Xenopus tropicalis: one gene and its partner. The protein of the gene in region 2 interacts with the protein of the main gene of each other region in a biochemical or structural test. Links are inferred from orthologs where the notes say so. Each region holds a gene or a part of one and is shown on either strand. Other genes may lie near its edges.

What was found.
Region 1: the proteins of tax1bp3 (region 2) and arhgef16 form a complex in vitro, tested with the Homo sapiens proteins (2 studies listed by BioGRID and IntAct, with this or other methods). The link is inferred for Xenopus tropicalis from reciprocal best matches to the Homo sapiens genes TAX1BP3 and ARHGEF16.

What each region holds. Positions count from the first base shown.
Region 1 is NC_030683.2:101,739,927-101,749,655, forward strand, and holds part of arhgef16 (rho guanine nucleotide exchange factor 16), read right to left. Parts: intron 9,597-9,729; coding exon 9,467-9,596; intron 8,346-9,466; coding exon 8,271-8,345; intron 7,502-8,270; coding exon 7,409-7,501; intron 6,077-7,408; coding exon 5,925-6,076; intron 5,373-5,924; coding exon 5,166-5,372; intron 4,861-5,165; coding exon 4,784-4,860; intron 3,082-4,783; exon of another isoform or gene 2,957-3,081; intron 866-2,956; exon of another isoform or gene 38-865; intron 1-37. UniProt on the Homo sapiens protein: Guanyl-nucleotide exchange factor of the RHOG GTPase stimulating the exchange of RHOG-associated GDP for GTP. May play a role in chemotactic cell migration by mediating the activation of RAC1 by EPHA2.
Region 2 is NC_030678.2:30,661,547-30,671,883, forward strand, and holds the start of tax1bp3 (tax1-binding protein 3), read right to left. Parts: upstream 5,672-10,337; 5' UTR 5,653-5,671; coding exon 5,614-5,652; intron 5,608-5,613; exon of another isoform or gene 5,389-5,607; coding exon of another isoform or gene 4,270-5,388; exon of another isoform or gene 3,488-4,269; intron 10-3,487; coding exon 1-9. Other genes in the region: hornerin-like, read right to left, coding at 4,270-5,388; emc6 (ER membrane protein complex subunit 6), read right to left, coding at 10,199-10,337. UniProt on the Homo sapiens protein: May regulate a number of protein-protein interactions by competing for PDZ domain binding sites. Binds CTNNB1 and may thereby act as an inhibitor of the Wnt signaling pathway. Competes with LIN7A for KCNJ4 binding, and thereby promotes KCNJ4 internalization.

The DNA of each region.
Region 1 (9,729 bases), on a different chromosome or scaffold from region 2:
GGAAAATACCTGCTAAACCATAGCAGAGAATCCGGTCTCTATACATATCAGTATCTGGAACTAATGCAACATGAACATTACAAGGTAGAAGATATGCATCATGAAGGAAGTACTATAGGCAGAAACCATGTGAGCCCTGTCAGACCTTTATGAGTCCTATATGTGCTTATGCTGACCTCTTGACCGCTAGTAGCACTCTATCCCATAATCTTTAAAGGTTGCTCTCATGCCGAGGTCACATACTAGAATGATAACCCTCCACAAGAGTAACCTAATTCCAGGAATCTCAGGTACTGCAATGACAAAACAGTCCCTAATTTTTGGGCTATATGCTGTCCCTTTATGGGGACTAGCATAAAATGAGACAAGCAGGGCAACCCATGACAGAAGACATGAACGGCAATGCCACTACATATGATATACCCTGGACGGGAAGGCATACTCATAGCCACCATGCCGCTAAACTAATATATAGCATAGGAACAGGAAGACAATCCCAGCCAATGTAGACAACTGGGTAGGAATAAGGAATGTCTTTCAAGTATGAGTTAAGGTTAGAGCTTCTAGACCTAACCAGTGTGTATGCCCTGTATCCGGACTAATTTGATGGAAGTCAAAAACACCCTGTTTCAAGCTTCCCAGCTGGAGGCACCCTCACCCAAGGGAGAATACTTCAGGGCAAGTAATTTACTGTTGCGCAGGCAATACTATGGGCCAGATAACTGGGCCCTAGGCAGGGAGATGTAGGTAGAACTTACCTCTAGAGACTATGATGGCACAGTCCATAAATTGGAAAGCATAGGTCATCCCAAGCAGTGCGAATGTGACATCCCTTGAGAGACCAGGTCATTCCCTGCCATATGCCCTGCAATCAGAACAGTGTATAACAGAAAACCCAAAGAGCAAACACGTGTCCTCTTGGGGGAACTAGGTATGGAATGGCAGCTACCCCAAAACATTTACTTACAGCATGTAATTGGAAGCCAGGTGAACCTTTATATATTCTCAAGCCCTGTAGAATGTATACAATATGCCTAAACAGCTGTAATCCCACAGCCAATTCAATGCAAGGGTTAGACCCTCCGAACCCAACAGAAGTGACAATGATAGCTTAGCAAGGTAATGCATAGTCTATTTAACGGCTGCTTGCTGGGCAAAAAACACCTAACCCCTGTCAACAAAAAACAGCTTCGAAAACAAGCGTTTAGCTGTGAAGCTATTCAAGGCAGAGAAGATACCCAGCAACATAATTAAGATGTAATGTACATGCCATCTTATTACCCTGCTTGAGCTACTGCGATCCCGCAGATGCCATGAGATTGGCTGCAACCTGCCAGCCTTTAGCTCCCAAGAGGCAATACCAACAAGTGTACTGGCACCTTTCAAAAAAGGCTAGTGTTATACACTAGCAATGCGGAGATTCATGAACACACTGATGGGTTTGCTTCAAACCGGTCATGGAGCCAGCCCCTATTTAACTATTTAATGTTTTTGGACTGACTTACCATGTAGATCAAACTCATGAGAGAGCCCTGTCGAACATGCAAGTCAGATGCTGTTCGCCAAGTGTATATACTACTAAAGTGATGCCTCCCTGCAGCACAAAGGAACGCATGTTGCTGGGCTCTAGAATAACTGCAAACTCAGAGGAATGTTTGTTTTGCAGCATATTATGGATCATGGTTTTATGCCAGGCTCAATAATTACTACAGGCCCAATGGCCCCACAGTTGAACTACAGCATGTGAGCATAACCCTTTTGGTTCAGATGTAGTTATAACCGTAATGCATTCCGCTTGCATACCCACAGGGCCCAATGAAACCTGCAGCTTGGCCCATACATACTACCTGGTCTTAGAAGTACTGCAAAAAAGGCCTACAAAACCCAGAACTGGCAACAGCTTATGAAGCTTATCAATAATAGGACACAGTGAACCATGAATTGTGCTGCAGCTTTAGGCATGCTAATAGCACAGATAAAAGAAATGCTGGAGATAGTACTCTGTTTGGGCTGCAGATTCATAAACATGCACATTGCCCAGTACAGCAAACATTCAGTCAGCTAAAGCTCTAGGTATGCTTACTGCCCAAACTGGTACCAGACTCTGGTTGCTGCAGAAACTAATGAATATTATTTTGTACCCCGGCATTTGCAGTTTAAGCATGCATAATACAGGAACCATGAATTGTGCTGCAGCTTTAGGCATGCTAATAGCACATATTTGGAGATGCTAGAGATGCACTCTGTTTGGGCTGCAGATTCATGAACATGCACATTGCCCAGTACAGCAAACATTCAGTCAGCTAAAGCTTTAGGTATGCTTACTGCCCAAATTGTTACCAGCCAATGGTTGCTGAAAAACTAATGAATATTATCTGGTACCCAGACATTTGCAGTTTAAGCATGCATAATACAGGGTTCTACAGGGTTGCTGAAGAACTAATGAATATTATCTGGTACCCAGACATTTGCAGTTTAAGCATACATAATACAGGGTTCTAAACCTTAGAAAAGTGAAAAAAAAAAAAAAAAAAATCTGCTGGTGATTATTGTACAGAGAAACATACAGCATAAGTATAGGAACACTTAATGGCAATGTGCCCATGCATAGCCTGAAAGAAAACTACATGGCAATACACTATTAACACATATGCAGATAATGCTAATCACAAATCAATAATTGTGTTAGTTTACTGGTAGCAACACAAGCCTGGCCTGGGGACCCCAAAGCACGGCCAATAATTGCTGCTAGCTGACAAGGTAGGATTACAGCCCTCTGCAGTGTGCTACAAAACACCTTTAAGTGATCAGAATAAAGGGCTCTCGATTTCTATAATACTATAGCTCTCTAAGCCAATAGTTATGGCCTACCTTAGGCATCAAAAACTGGAAAGAGGTTCCTAAAGGAGGACTGATATAGGAAACCAGCAAACAAAATCAGTATACAGAACCTTACCTTCCCAGCCTATGGTGCTATACTCTGGGAACTCAGGACTGGAATGAGAGCCACAACACCTTTGGCTAATTACATAATTACCTTCAGCAGAGGTACTCTGGTTACACCCCAATTAGCCAGTAGGGTTATACTACAGACCCTTATACAGAGTTTTAAACATAATTAGCCAGGCTACTACTAGCGAGGCACCTGAACAACTTCAGCCCTAATGCAGCAATACAATCTGGCTACAATCGTGATGGCAAAGTACTGGATCCATGTGCATACACATAATTATACCCAGCTAATGCAGATACAGATCTCAGAGTTACTTCAACTCTATAATGCCCTGACTACTATAAACACCTTCCACAGTAAGTGAAATATTAGTGCATTACCTGGTGTAGTAGCAGTAGCCATAACACAGAACTGGTGCAACTCTCTGGGAAGCTCAGCTGGAGTGTAGCTGATCACGTAATCACATTCACCTGAGACTACTCAGGAATGCATCTAATTAGCCAGTTCTTAGTAGTAACTACACTACAGTGCCCTAGCAACCATAACACAATGCGGGCAGCTGAAAGGAGTTGACGCATTACCCCATGTATCAGCAAGTAGCCATGACACAGGACTGCTGCAATCTCTGGAAAGCTCAGGTAGAGTGTAGCTTAGCACATAATCACATTCACCTGAGGCTACTCAGGAATGCATTTCATTAGGCAGTTCCCAAGGTTACTACATGGCTCTGCCCTAGCAACTGTAACACAATCCAGAGCAACTGAAAGGTTCAATGAATCACCCAATCTGTCTGCAAGTAACCATAATATTTGACTGGTTACATTCAGCTAAAGCTATCCAGGTATGTAGCAACTAGCAGGCAAACTAACCCATTTGTAGTACATAATGCAGCCCAATGTTTAAAGACAGTGGGGTGTCAGGCCCTTTTTTTTTTTTTTTTTTTTTTTTTTTTAAACACCTCTTAATACAAAACCTTAGGAAAGACTTTGTGAGGGAGGCAGTAGGCTTTGAACTCTGGCTCTATTAAAAAAAAAAAAATCTCTCCACACAGTAGAACAAAAAGGAATATGGAGATCGCCAGACTCAGGCCACTAACTAAATGTTGAGGACTGCTAACTTCCACCTCCCTCGCCCATCCGCAAAAATATTAAGTGTGTCGGGCCACACACCATTGCCACCAGACACTCACGGCCTGGGAGGGCATACGGATGGGGGGACTAGCACTTGCCATTGGATGCCATTATGACAAACCAGAAAGGCACATGGGATCAAATATACCAACAGCATTGTCCTACCTTATCAAGCAGAACAGAGCCGAAGATCCCAGGATATGAGGTAATGTGCAGGGGAAAAGATCTCATGGACCAAAAAACCCCAGTCCCTAGGTGCCATTTCCGGTCACCTAATGCTTTCCCAAGGCTAAAAAGCAAAAACGTTGCTTCCAATGGAGCAAGGAAAGCAGAAGGAAAAAAAGACGCCATAGAGGGGGTGGGGGTGGCTTTTAAAGCTTTGGGGAGGATCCTTCTGATGGGGCATGGGGGCGGGGATATCCCAGATAGTGCTGATATGGAGTACGACCAGGGAAATCACAGGAGTTCCATGACCACATAAAAGCACAAGGCCGCAGGCAGCATTTACCGTTCAGTTATCTGAAACCAGACACCGATTGGTTGATATGGGCTAACTTTATATTGTTTATTACACTAGCACATTTTTGCCTAAATCATTACATCGTTTTATTTTTCTTTAAAATAATCATCATTCTAAATAAAGCACAAACAAGCAGGCTCTACCTTCTGTGCCATGGTGATCACTTCCATATTTTCTTACCTCCTCTCCTAGATCTGCTGTTCTCTTTGTTGTCTTCCTTCCGCTCAAGTGCAGCAACCCACCGTGCTCTATCACTCCTGCATATAAACATGCGTAATGAGATCTCGCCTTGGAATGCCCAACTTTGGACCTTTGTTTTTGTTGAACTACAACTCCTATAGTCTTGATACTCTCTGCCACAGGATGCTGCAGGTAGGTTGGACAATGCCTATCAGATAGTTGGTATTCGCTCAGTGCCCAGATATGCGTTGTATACTGAGCTATCGTTAGTGGGATCTGAGCATATATTTTACCTTTATCTAGTTATAAATACTGCTAGCTCTCTCATTTATTCAATAAACCTGCAATGCAAAAAGTAACAGGTACAATGGCAGATACTTACAGACTGTCAGCCGCCAACACAATTTCATCCTGTTTCCCTTCACTGTTCTTACTGATATGAATCTGGAACAAGAAGGGCCCATTTGGACTACGGGGGCCACTTGTCCCAGTCTTTGCAGGAGGCGATAGCTGTGGGTCACCATTTTCTATTTTAGCCACAGCAAACTGATCCATCATGACATAATCTGTTACAATGTAGTTTTCCTCACTGAAAACATAAAAAAAAACATGCAACAACTACAACAATAGTAGAAACTACACAAAAGGAAATACTATAAGGGTTTTCTTTTACTTGTAAGTGATACAAAATGGCTTCACATATTAGCATCAAAAATCTGTTTAGGAATTTGCACAGAGAATAGAGCCAGCCTAAGGGCTTATTCTTTAACATTATCTGTGGAAACCCCCAATCCGTAGCTCTGTCTAGTGGTACATTCCAGTCTACCTTCAATACCAAGCAATGGTCTTGCCTACCTTTAAAAAACATTCCATTAAATGGTTCTTTCCTAGTACTGCCAGTCTGGCACCACCCATTATTTGTTCTTAGGATGAAACATTCCCTGTAGCCTTCTGTAACTGCCCCCACCCCCTCACTTTGCCCTTCACCTGAGCCTAGGAAATTACCATCTGTAGCGCACGTTCATTTTTATTTTTTTTTTTTTAATTTGAAGTTTTTATTAGTTTTAGAGAACAAACATTTGTATATTTTGAAACACACAGTAGAATAGGTTGGTGTATCATATATTCATAGTAACATCACCTTTTTTTCTTTGTTATTATAAGGATGTCATTGAATAAGAAGAGATAGCAAGAAGTCTTTCCAAAGCCTTTCCAGAAAACTCCAGATTCCTCTACAAGGTTAAGTTCACCTCTCTTCAGCAACCAGCGCGAGGCAGAAATGAGTGGAAAAGGCTAATTTAGGAAAGCAAAAGAAAAAATGAATCCTTCTTCACAAACGGAATGGTCTGAAAGTCTGCCAAATGGTAACAAGGTTCATTCCTTGTCAAAAGGAAATCTGAGAAACCACCTTTTCATAATGACACATACATGAATATCACAATAGTCTAATTAGTATATAATACAGACACAGCTCTAAAACCACTTCAATATAGCATCAGATTTTAATAATCAGCCCTGTAGCTTTAGCTCATTTGCTGCTTGAAAATTTGTGACAGCCCCTAAGCTCGGATTTGCAAAAGCTGCCCAGATCACACTAAGGGGCACATTCACCAAAGTACGAGTTCGAATCCCGAAATGGGTAAAATTCGGATTGGATACGATAATTTCTGATGATCGCAAATATCACGATAATATCATATTGGCGATCTGAAAGTCACAAAATTTTCGTATAGAACGATCATAATTGGTAAAACCTTTCCGACTTTGATCCTACTGTGCATGATTTTGGAAGCCTCCCATAGGACTCAATGGCACTCTGCAGCTCCGACCTGGCTCAAGGAAAGTCATGATACCGAAGCTTAAATGACAATACGATTTTGTCGCAAAAATTTTGTCGCAAAGTACGAAAAAGTCTGATTCGGACTGATTGTACATTAATAAATCTGCCCCTTAGTATGTGCAAAGTTGCTTAACAAAATCCAAAAACCCTGTGCACAACTTTGAACTACATCTTGGGTCTCTTATCTGGAAACCCACTATCCAGAAATTCCAAAATTATTTGAAGGCCATCCCCCGTAGACTCCATTTTAATCAAACAATTTGCATTTTTAAAAAACTATTTCCTTGTTCTCTGTAATAACAAAACAGTACCTTGTACTTGATCCCAGTGAAGATATAATTAATCTTTACTGGAGGCAAATAATCCTACTGGGGATGCAACATTCAGTTTACAAAATATAGCAATTTTAGCCATATTTATTTTTAGGGATTAATTCTCCTTTGATGACTTTTTCTAAAATAGCTAAAAAAAAAAATGAAACTGGGAAGAGCTCTTGGTGCACATTTACTTTGCCCCAATGATAACACCTGCCGTACATAACAGACAATATTCTGAGCACAAAACACGGTTCTGTAAAAGTTATTCTGCCCAGTGTGTACATGAGAAAACATGGCCTCAGAGTTTTACAATTGAGAACAAACAGATGATGATAGCTGAATGCAGAATTAGCTGCTCCTTACTGTAGGTACAAAACCTAAGTAAATGCAGCTGCTCATGTGTATACTGGTTATGCATAAATATGGAAATACACTTTTTTTTAAAATTTTTGTAAACAGACTTCCTACCTTGATCTTTCCGAACTCAAGCTGCGTTTGCAGGGTGTACATCTGTTCTGTCCTTTCCATCTTCCGTGCCCCTTCATTGCACTGCTTAACCAACTGTTAACAGAAACCAATAGAAAAACATGTGTTTACCTATCTGCAAAGGGATTCAGGAGGTAATTGCTTGGTTCATAAAGCACCACAAGAAATTGCTTTTCTAATAACATATTTAATAAGCAACCAGCAGTGTCCCCGAGCAAACTTGCCTACGTATTTAAATAAACTTTATTTTCTGGATTTGACCAAATTTGGTCATTATCTTAGTAATAGAATTTTTTTAAATTGCTATGCATGGTGTTAATTCACATGCAAGGACTACATGAACCCCATGCTGTCTCTAATTTACCTTGGAAAAAAGCTCTCTGTTCTCAGTAAACGAGTGAGAGCATCGGGTCCATGTCAGATTGTGGACAGGACCTGATAAATTGCTTGTAGGGGAATCAGAAGCTGCTTCCCTCCAGCTGGCAGCTTATCGCTAAAATGTGGAGCTAGGAGACGCAATTAAATTTTCAGAGGTGCTTCTCACCAGGACAACTGGAAGCATTCTGGACAGGGTTCTACCACCATCTTACATTTAATTAGTAAGCAAAATTGTGTCCGAAATAAAATTTTTTTACACATAACCAGCAGATGATCCCTTTCTTAAACAGTGCTTATAACCTTAGGTCCCCTCCAAACTGCACCTGTCACTGGACTTGGTTCAAACCTGAAGGAAACTGGTGCAAGTATTTGGGTTCAGACAAGGCTCAACTCTGCATCAGTTCTGCTGTGATAGAAAATACATTAGTTTATACAAAAAGCAGTGCTAAAAAGGGCTCCAGCTAACCTTGCTTAAGGCTTTCAGGGCATGAGTTGTCTCTCCATATTCTTTAGTGCGCATGTCCATTTTTTGGCAAATAGTCTAGGGAAAAAAGCATACAACAATAACAAAAATCACAATTTGTTATGGCAAATAAATGTTGAGAATAAATTGCACCCATAGCTAAAAAGACCTTTTCTTTCATTATTCTAATATCATTAATCAAATCAAATTTTACTGCTTAATATGATATTTCAGCAAATTGTGTATCATGTTACTGCATAAATCAGTTCTACCAAGATGTTGGGAACCACAATTAAAGGTTGCCATACACAGGCAGATTTAAGCTGCCCATTATGGTCCTTCAGGTCGATTTTGTAGCTTATCTGCCCATGCACGGTTAATGTTGAGTCTAAACCCTGTGTAAGATCATTGCTGTAAAAAAGGCATGAGCAGTTGCCCAGATAATCACCAGTTCTACAGGATAGGGCAAGGCACATAATTCACTACTGCACCCAAGCCATGGAGGGATCAATTTCTGGAATGTGCCAGAGTTTTTCCTATTTCTGCCCTTTTCAATTCTGCCCTCACCCTTTTCCTGCTGTTTCTCCAAACTTACTTTTCCTCTGTTCTCTTCCACCATTTTTAATACATTTTCTTGTGCATACACTTTTTCTTTTCTTCATTTTTCTCCCCCCTTTAGTTTGTGGTTATTCAGCATTGGACTGGGTGAGTGGTGGAGAGAGATCACTGTATGAGATGTTTAATAACTTACTATCTGTAACTTTGTATATCAAGATTACTAACTAAAATAGAATCCTGGCAGGCAAGAGAGAGGGGTGCCACCAGAGGCAGAGAAGTTGGACGCAGCATGGGCAACTGCAGGTGTAAACAGGGTTCCCTTCTGCCTACACAACTGCATACTGTGCCTAAGTAATAGTTAACAGGGGCAAAGGCAATATTTACATCAACTGCTACAATGACAATAACAGATTGTAAAAAGGGTTGATGGGAATGATTCTGGGTGGGCCCACTAGTAGATGTTCTGGTACCCTGGCAGACCAAACTTACCCTATTCTTTTCTGTTGTTATTTCTTTTATCTCAACCCTTTCCCATTCCATTATGCCTTAACCAAGTCAGCTCAGACTAGGGAACATTTGTGCAATATGGCAGCTTCGCCACACGTTCAATAAATGTTAATGTAAATGTTCAGACTACTTACATCCATCAGTAGAGGAAGACGTGTAACTCTCTGCATTGGCAAAATTAGGAATGAAAACATGGGCAGGCCACCGCATTCCGCCTTCATTTCGATTTGCTTTAAGGTGTCTTTAAATGTCCCATTGGTGGACCTGAAATCGCCATACAGTGAGTTATGAACTGCAGTTACAGCAATGAGAAGCAAGGTGTGTTATTATAATGCATACAAAACATTTATCCAGAGAATAAGAAATCTATGGGGAATGTGCGTAGGAATTAAGGAAA
Region 2 (10,337 bases):
AACCCGTTGCTACAGAAAAAAAGGAATGGAAATTAGTTCCAAATCAAGGACTGAGGTTTAACCCTTCTGGTTATTAGCCATCCCATAAACCCAGTCTGAATATCAGTAACAGTTCCATTCAGTGTAATTTCTTATTTGCTGTTCTTGAAACCAGAGCTGAATGAACTGCTTGACAATGTCCTGGCCAAAGAAAGGACCTTCAACCACTGGGCCAATGTAATTCTTAGCACCATCTTGTCCTCGAAAATACATTGTGTTGTGCATTTGCAGCCCCATGTTGTGAATCTCACCTACCACCACCACCCTGTATCAGGGGTCACTTAGCAACCCCTGCAGTTCCTTATGACTTACAACAGAGATTGGTAAAATTGGAGCTTGGGCCCCTGGCATTCACAATGATTGCTGAACCGCTCTCAGAGCAGCTGTACTTGATATGGGATGAGTGATAACAGGTATAATAGGGCAAAATGGTGAGAGTAAAACATGATATCACTGTTTCCTAATATGTTGGCCTTTGTTTATTTTTAAAGTATAACTTCATGGATCCCCGCCCCCCCCCCCCCCAAAAAAATGGTGTATTACCTTGGACCCGGCCCTGAGAAAAGAATGTGTTCATAGGTAATTGATAAAATAACTGCTAATTTGAAAACAGCACGAAACAGAATATGCAGGGGTTTGTGGAAGGCAGCTTGGCCTACTGCCGTTTTGGAGAGTTACCCAGATATGTGTTTCTATGCACCATATGCCAAACAGCCATGACTCATTGGTTAAACATCTCAGGATCTGGCTCACCCCAACAGAAACTTAGATACGTCTCTATCGCTTGGCCTTCAGCTAGGACTGTCACGCATTCCTCCTGTATCTAAGCCGTCTCTGTCAGAAGGGGGCCACATTTCTATAAGAACATATTCTACTCTATTCTATAACAACACTGCTGAAGAGACAGAGCCAAATGTATCCAATGCAGATATACATTTTTTCAGCAGCCAATACAATTTCTTAGGGTGAAGACACACAGAGCTACTTAGCAGCAGCTACTTTTCACAGCTACTAAACTCCAGAATATACCCTGCCATAGACAATACTGAGAATTGCCTCTGCTAAAACACACGTAGAGACAGTTATCAGTAAATGATCAGCATTGTCTATTTTAGTAGCCACTATAAGTAGCCACTACTAGTAGCTCTGTGTGTCTTCAACCTAAGAAATACAAAATATCCCTACTGTGCCCAACACAATGGTAATTAAAAGTCCAGCCAGCACCCAGAATTGTGATGCAACGTGTCCATAATTTATTTGTTTTTAATCCAAGACAGCAGATCTAAAGATAAAATAAGACTGCATTGTGTGGGCTTTTGAAAACCCACTGGTAGCAGCAGGCTGGCTGTTGGGACAATATTGCAGAATGGGGAAGAAACTGGTGGCTCCAGCCCTTTGGAACCTATGGAGAATGGTAGCAAAGCAAATAAAACCACTGAATAAAAGAGAACAAGTTCTCTGTACTTGATCTTCCATAAGCCTGACTTTGACCCTCGCAAGCACTGAAGAAGGAATGATAACGTGACTATAGAGTTGTATTCCATGGCCAGGATATCCAGCATTTGGTCAGACCCTCTTTAGGAAGGTTACAGCTATATAAATAAAGACACTGTCATGACATTCACTTGCAGTAGTTCCAATAGAAGTAATGGTCAAAACGGAGCTTAAAGTACAAAAATCACTTCTCTCCAACTGGAAGCTCACAGGCTTAATACAGGCCAAGGTCTCCGTGTAGATAATGAGCCCTTGGAGGACAGCATTTCTGCCTCAATGCCAGCCTTCCCCAGTAGATAAAAGGTGTATCTAACAGGGTGTAACCCTTAGACAAACATACTAGGAAAAGTAACACACCAGGGACCTCTGACCTGCCTTATATGAGTCACGCAGACATGCTGGTACAAGCGTGCCCGTGCTATGGCACTGATTTGGTGCAAATAGTTTGCAAAGACGAAGAATGCAACTTGTAGCACAGATACACCTGACCCCACCAGCTCTGTCATGTTTATGTAAGACACGCTGCTCTATTTATAATGTCAGCTAACAGATTTTTTGTTTTTAGTTAAGTGATCTATTCAGGTAGTAAAAATTGCAACCGACTTTAATATAATTGATTTTTTAAAAATTGCAAATTGCCCTTAAGAGGTGCCATAAGGATATACATTTAATTAATGTTTTGCTTGGCCTTTGTGACCTTAAGGTACCTATATACACAAAGGCTAATGACGGGCTGTATAGCTGCAGAGCTGAAAATACTGTAATTACAAGCCCAAGGCCTCAGGATATTTTACCCCTATCATTAGGCTCTATTATTAAAAATCAAATTTGCACCTGGGCAGTAACCCACAGCAAAGAAAAGATATCTTTTTTAATTTCACTGTTCTACCTGCAGTTGGCTGACAAATGCTAATCACTGACTGGATTCTATTGGCTACTGCCCAAGTGCATATTCGCCCAGTGTTGCTAAATGAGGGATCAGGGACACTTTGAGGTACCAGCAGGCCTTGGGCAATATTTCACTGGTAGGTCCCTACTGCTTGTTTGTACTTACTGAAGTAGAGATGGTGTGCCACAGCCATGGGAGTAGAAAAATGATAAATGGAAATGCCACAAGAAAAAAGGCAAAAATAATATAAATAACCATACTGTAGGGATGTACAGTAAAATGTAGGATGCTTCTGCCAAAAGTAAGCCCAGATGAAAAGTGTGCTAGTGGGCCCCCTGTCCTGATGGGTCCTGGGCAAATGCCCCTTTGGCCCAATTATTGAAACAGCCCTGCAAAGTCGGAAACCCTCACTGGGACGACAAGACAAAGCACAAAGGTAACTGGCTCCGCTGTATCCAGGCCTACATCTAATGCCTGCAGGGGAATTCCTTCCCCTAATAAAAGCCTTGCAGTTACCAACTGCATTTAGTCTGCTCACAAAGGCCTCACTATGCAGAGGTTAAAGTGTCTGCCCCGGGCCCCACAGATGGGAACTCTGATATCAAACTGGCTGTATTTAAGAGGATGATGAGGCTCGGTACCGGATAACTCTTCTACACGCCCAGGGAATATTACCAGCGTAAATACATACACACGTATGATAATGCATACTGTTAGCTTTCATTTGTACCGGGCTGATGATTCAGTTTATACCTCCAGGAGATACATTTATTGAATATTCAATTATTTACTTTGATTCAGGCTATGAAAATCAAGTGCACCTGTAAATGCTATCACTTTTATTTCTATATTCTAATTCTAATGTTGCAAAACTATAAATTAACCACCTTTGCAAGCCTGCTAAAACTCATAAAGCCATCGTTGTTAAATGGGTACAGGTAGTTCACCTTAAAATTAACTTTAAATATGATGTAGAAATTGATATTCTGAGACAGTTTGCAATTTGTCTTAATTTTTATTTTTTATAGTTTTCCAGTAATTTAGCTTTATAACAGCTCTCCAGTTTGGTATTGGAGCAGTTATCTGGTTGCTAGGGGTTTATTTATCCTAGCAACCAAGCAGTAGGTTAAACAAGAGACATGAAAATGAATTGATAGAGGAATTCATTATAAAAGGGAGGTTAACTGGGAGTGAGAAAAAGTCAAAATATGCCCTGGCATTTCAAGAACACAGAAGCCCAAACATAATTAAATAATAATATGGCATCCTATAGCTGCCGCTCTGGCATTTGCCAGAATCTCCAGATTGCCAGTCTGCTTTGGAGTACCATCAGAAAAGCATTGAGAAACCACCCTTAAATGAAATGAAACCACCCTTAAAGGGCAAGCAAATAGAAAAATAAATGGGGAGTGGAAAATTGTTAGGCATCCACCAGTGCCTAAAAGTGCTTATGTCCTACCATATGCCAGCGCTCCTCATATAGCGGGGAAGGAAAACAGGGGGATATTCTCCTTACAGTAGATGACAGGGCTGTCCAGCTGGAAGCCCCAAACGCCAGATGTGGCCCATCCACAACATTTTTGTATGGCCCCCAGCATGCACAAGGTCTTCACATACCTCATGGGAGGACATAATAATCTGCCCCACACACACAAGAAATAGTGAGTTTACACTTTACATAATATTAATAACAAATAGTAAACGCCATGGGATTTTACAGTCTGACCATGGCAGAACATCTCCAACCAGCTATAATATGACTGTTCAGCAGACTATTTGGGAGTTTACAAATCCAAGGGATGATGTGGTAATCTCTTGCCCTTCAGCAGAGTGACCACAAAGGTTGTTTAATGGTTGCTTGTTTTACAGGGCAGGGAATGGCGGGTGCCTGAACTACAGCCCAGGGAATGGTGGGTGCCTGAACTACAGCCCAGGGAATGGCGGGTGCCTGAACTACAGCCCAGGGAATGGCGGGTGCCTGAACTACAGCCCAGGGAATGGCGGGTGCCTGAACTACAGCCCAGGGAATGGCGGGTGCCTGAACTACAGCCCAGGGAATGGCGGGTGCCTGAACTACAGCCCAGGGAATGGCGGGTGCCTGAACTACAGCCCAGGGAATGGCGGGTGCCTGAACTACAGCCCAGGGAATGGCGGGTGCCTGAACTACAGCCCAGGGAATGGCGGGTGCCTGAACTACAGCCCAGGGAATGGCGGGTGCCTGAACTACAGCCCAGGGAATGGCGGGTGCCTGAACTACAGCCCAGGGAATGGCGGGTGCCTGAACTACAAACCAGGGAACAGCGGGTGCCTGAACTACAAACCAGGGAACAGCGGGCGCTTGCACTACAGCCCAGGGAACGGCGGGTGCCTGAACTACAGCCCTGGGAATGGCGGGTGCCTGAACTACAGCCCAAGGAACAGTGGGTGCCTGAACTACAGCCCTGGGAATGGCGGGTGCCTGAACTACAGCCCAAGGAACAGTGGGCGCTTGCACTACAGCCCAAGGAACGGCGGGCATTTGCACTACAGCCCAGGGAACGGCGGGCGCTTGCACTACAGCCCAGGGAACGGCGGGCGCTTGCACTAAAGCTCAGGGAACGGCAGGCATTTCCACTACAGCTCAGGGAACGGTGGGCGCTTGCACTACAGCCCAGGGAACGGTGGGCGCTTGCACTACAGCCCAGGGAACGGTGGGCGCTTGCACTACAGCCCAGGGAACGGTGGGCGCTTGCACTACAGCCCAGGGAACGGTGGGCGCTTGCACTACAGCCCAGGGAACGGTGGGCGCTTGCACTACAGCCCAGGGAACGGTGGGCGCTTGCAATACAGCCCAGGGAACGGTGGGCATTTGCACTACAGCCCAGGGAACAGTGGGCATTTGCACTACAGCCCAGGGAACAGAAATGATGGGGAGGAAGGCTCTGCCCTACAGTACAAGGAATCATCAGCTGGGGGCGCTGTTGCATTGTAGCTGATGGAAGTTGGGGCAGCGCTTGCCTGTAAGACACAATGGAATGACGGGGGGCTCCTGAAGTTTCGGAGCGGGGGTGTGAGCATTACGTAAGGCTCAATACAGACACTAGCGGCGGGCAGGTTGTGTAAGCCCATATAACAGGGTACATGGAAGGGAAGGGAGGTACAAGCCGAATTGGGCCCCGTCCCTGCGGCTCCCCCGATTCACCCAAACTCACCACTACAGCAGTGACCGGCTGGCCCGGGATGTAAGACATGGCTGCTAGCTCACTCCGGCAACACCCGAGCGGGACAAAGTATGCCCGGGCCTCGGCCACGCCCACTCCTCCGGAATGATGATCCGCCCGCACACTAACTGCACGCATGTAGGCACGCCTCCTCATTAATATTAATCCCACACACCCACCTACACCCCTCCCTGTAACCATGTGTGTGCCGGGGCGGCACTGTCATCTGATCCGGCTGCCTGCTAACTACTCCTACTTCCACATTCTCTGCAGTTTATATGGGGATCCTGGGAAATGTAGTTCGGAACTGTTGCCTGCCACCATCAACCCCTGATAAAGTTCTATTATTGGCGTTTGAAAATATTGGTTCATTGTGTTTTGTATGGGGCTTTCTGCAGCTATAACAATGAGCCGTATTGGGACTGTGGGGAGTTATTACTGTTTCTCCTCAGGACTGGGGCACCTGCTCTGGTAGCACTACAGCAGCATACCAGCAACACTAGCACAGAGCTATGATATCCTGTGTCCATTACAGCCCCATAAATGCTTCTTGGTAATGTACTTTGTGTCCCCTTGTGGTAAAATATAAGGCTATTAGAAGTCACCTGTATGAAAGAGCATTTATATAAAGTAATTGTAAATGGTCATGGGACTCCTTGGTGACTTATAATACCCTAATAGTGTAAAATAATGTCGACTTTATTCGCTATATAAATGGTACTTAATGATGTCATCAGTCATCATAGGTGCTTAGTGATGTAATTCTGCACATGATGCATTTAAGCAGTCGGCCATGTATTTTTATATGGTCATTAGGTTGGGACTGAAATTTGTGGGTTCTGGCAAATGCCAGAGGGGCTGCTGTAAGGCGCCATAGACAGTCACTATTTATTGGGCTGGTAGGGGGCTGTTTGGCCTCTGTGTACTTGTAATGCCAGCGCCTTATTTGATGGTCAGATGGGACCTTATGGTCATGGAACTTGTTGGTGACTTATAATATATTTATATTTTACAGTAGGAGGTACATTATTCACTATATTATCACCTTGTATAATCACATTACCTTTGGGCATAGTACTACATTTTGGATTGTAAACTCTATAGGGCAGGGATCTCCTCCTTCTTGTCTCTTAAAATGTAACTGTATTTTTTGCATTTACATTCTATTATCTTTTATATTAATGTAAAATGCTGTGTACAGAATTAGTGCTATATAAAAATATATACTGTACATTCATGTTTTAGACCTGCCTTATTGTCCAGTACTATAAAAGGAGTTATATAATCCCATATATCTATCCAATCAATCTAATCTCTCTCATCATCTATCATTTCTCTCTGTTTAGCTATCAAATCGATTTATATTTACCTAATTTAGTAATGAATCCAATCTACCCACCAATCTAAGATTATTTATCTGTCTAATCTATCTATTGGCAATGTTTATTAGCCTTTAGGGCTCTGGCAGACGGGGAGACTAGTCGCCCGCGACTAATCTCCCCGAAATACCATCCCACTGGTGAGTATGTAAATCGCCGGTGGGATGGCATACACGGCGCCGCGATTTCCCCCGAAATTGCAGAAGTTTCTTTTCAAGGCAACTTCCATGAATTTGGGGAAATTGCGGCGTGCGTATGCCATCCCACCAGCGAATTACATTTTCACCGGTGGGATGGCATTTCGGGGAGATTTGTCGCGGGCAACTAGTCTCCCCGTCTGCCAGAGCCCTTAAGCACACAAGCCAAATTCATCATTGCTGTTCAATAGACAGGTCACTGAGCCAGTAGTACAAACACATTTGCTGACATGTTTTTATCTTCGATGCGTTGATTGAGCAATTGTCCTCTGAAAGCATCACAGAAGGCTGTATTTGTTAGGCTTATGAACAGCGTGCAGGACACAACACTGTGGTGGTCTCCGCTAATATCATCCAGCATCACAGGTGCTTCTCAAGCTTGAGCAAGCGTATACACACAAACATCATTTTAAAGGGGGCCCATTGCAAAGGTGAGGATTTAATATATACTTCATCTCATGGCACAAATAAACTTTAAAACAAAATCAATTTTAAATTTTTTACCATTTATTAAATAACCAGGTTATTCTCCTCATTCCCTCCAATGTCTAGGTAAAGGGGGCACAAACGAATGTCTAGTACCTGTCAATCAAAATCAGAGAGGGCTGTATAAATAGATACATATTGCTGAGAGGGGCTAATGAAAGAGTAACTTAATATATTGAACATTTCTTATTTCTGTGAAATGAAGATCATATTATATCTAGGGCTGCACTGAATTCAGGATTTGGTTTGGCCGAATCCAAGTGCCTGGCTGAACCAAATCCAAATCTTTAAAATCACGTGACTTTTCATAGCAAGAGTGTTTAAGTTAAACAATTTTTACCTAATGCATGAGTCCTCTAACATTTCTGTAGCCTAATCTGCATTTGGAAATTGGAAATTAGGGTTTGAATTCTAGAAAATCTTTCTCAAAATATTTGGGCGAATCCCAAAATCCCCCATTACATCTTCATTTTTCCTTTAAAAAAATGATTCACTCTACATAATCTCTGTGGTTTTAATGTTATGGTACTTATTGTACAGTGCTGCAGAATATGTTGGCGCTTTATAAATAAATGTTAATAATAGTTCCCTATAATACTCATGCTAGTATCCCAGCATTGAAATGAACTGAGTAAGTACATCACTGGCAACGGAGAATCTCAAAGCATATTTATTCACATTTCTGTTGTAAGGACGATTTCAAACAATTGTTTAAACGTTTAATACCATGGACTTTGCATCAGATCTAACAAAAGGTTTTGTATTCAACAATTCATGGGTTTTTATCTGCAAAGGAAGAGAACAGTGGTGTGACTTCTTCCTCCAGGCAAAACAAGGGCTCTCTAATACTAACTAAACAACAAAATATTCAAAGGGCTTAAAACTAGGACTGTACATTTGTACTCAGATGTGCTGAAAGATAACTGATTGCTTTAGTTAAAGCAGTGACCTTGAGCTTGGCAGCTGCTAAAATAGTGAGCCCTAGTGGTGAGAGGATTTGGCTTGCCTACAAAAGATTTCAATAGACCTGTTCACAGATTCCGTTGTTTCTAAGAAGCACAGAAAAAAAACCCTAAGGTTCTTGGGAAATACAAAGTCACACCATAGGTGTTTGCTTTGCCTTTTGCCAAAGTAGATTTGCAAGAGCTAGTACTAGTGCTGCAGCATTTCTGTAAATAAAGAAGTATACCCCTTTTTTCAACATTAGGTCAATGATCACAACTTTGCCTTTTGTTTTAGTTATGAAATTTGTTATTTCTTGTACTAAACAGGGAAAACTAAAAGTTATAAGTAAAGGCACATTCTACTTTCTGATTCATATGAGCACAATCTAAGCTCGACCAGTGATTTGTTTTCATTTTGCTTGTCAGTAGAGGAAGCAGAGTATAACTTTGATCTTTAGATTTTGGCCTGTTTAGTGCAAGACGTAAAACAATAGACAAAAAGTATGCTGAGCACTAGACATTACAATTATACATTAAGCTAATGTTGAAAAAAGGGGGTATATTGCCCCTGTAACCGTATGCGAATGAGCTACGTATGGGCTGGTCTAATTTATGCCCCTACAGGACATGTGGCAGGACCAATCAATGTACACAGCCTATGCACTTGTCCTTTATTTTTCCCTGACTTTAGATGAGAATGACAGGTCGTTGCAATTGTATTTCCAGTGACAGGTGATGTAACCAAAAACAAGGAGATTAAACCAGGTACATGTGGAAAGCCCAGGCCATCAAAGTTAATTGCTGTTGAGGGGAACTACACTATGTTGGAGGCTGCACTCAAGCCACCCCCCTCCAAGGGGCCTGTGCTGTGGTGTAATTACGCCACTGCTTCCAAAGAGTGAGGTTTAATGGCAATGCTATGTTAAACTCAACACTGGAGGTGCAAAGGTGACGCCACCTTATCCATTATACCATCAAGGAATACATATGCTGTATGGCTGATTCATTAGATTACATGCATTTTGTATAATACCATTATCTGTATACCATGTCTATTTTAGAGGTGCAAACTCTATCAAACCTTTAACGTCAATGTAATCCAAAAGCATACATTCCTGTTTTTGTTTCAGCCACTATGAAATAAATATAAGAAAGAAAAAAACAATATATGAAATTCAATGTGGACCTGTGATGAATGCATAGCTTTAGTACATAGGCCAATATGTTGTATTGCTTAGCCCAAAACACACATCAATCCGGGGATTTTAATTATTCCCATTCGCATGGGTAGGTTGAGTAGATCCATGGTAACGTGGGCTATACTGGTTTGGAAGATATATCCCAAAAATTTAATATGTGCTCAATCACTTCTTTCATTAATTGCAAATATTCTAGATGTGTACAGCAAATTTAATTAGAGAACATATCTATATAATATGATCTATATAAGTTACTAACAGGAACCAAGCAGCAGGTTCGGTATTTTAAAAACTAGATCCTTATGTTCAGTGTAGGTCCTTGTATTCCATTAAAAAGAGCAATTCCAAGTGACACAACCACGTAGCAGGCTTCAATACACATGCACCATGCCGTAAAGGAAGGTCCAAAAAAGGACATAAGTGAACAGGCCACCGATGAGCCCTCCTGTAAACAGTGGCTTTCTTGATTTAAAATATTTGTTCCACTTCCGTCCAGACTTTAATACTAAC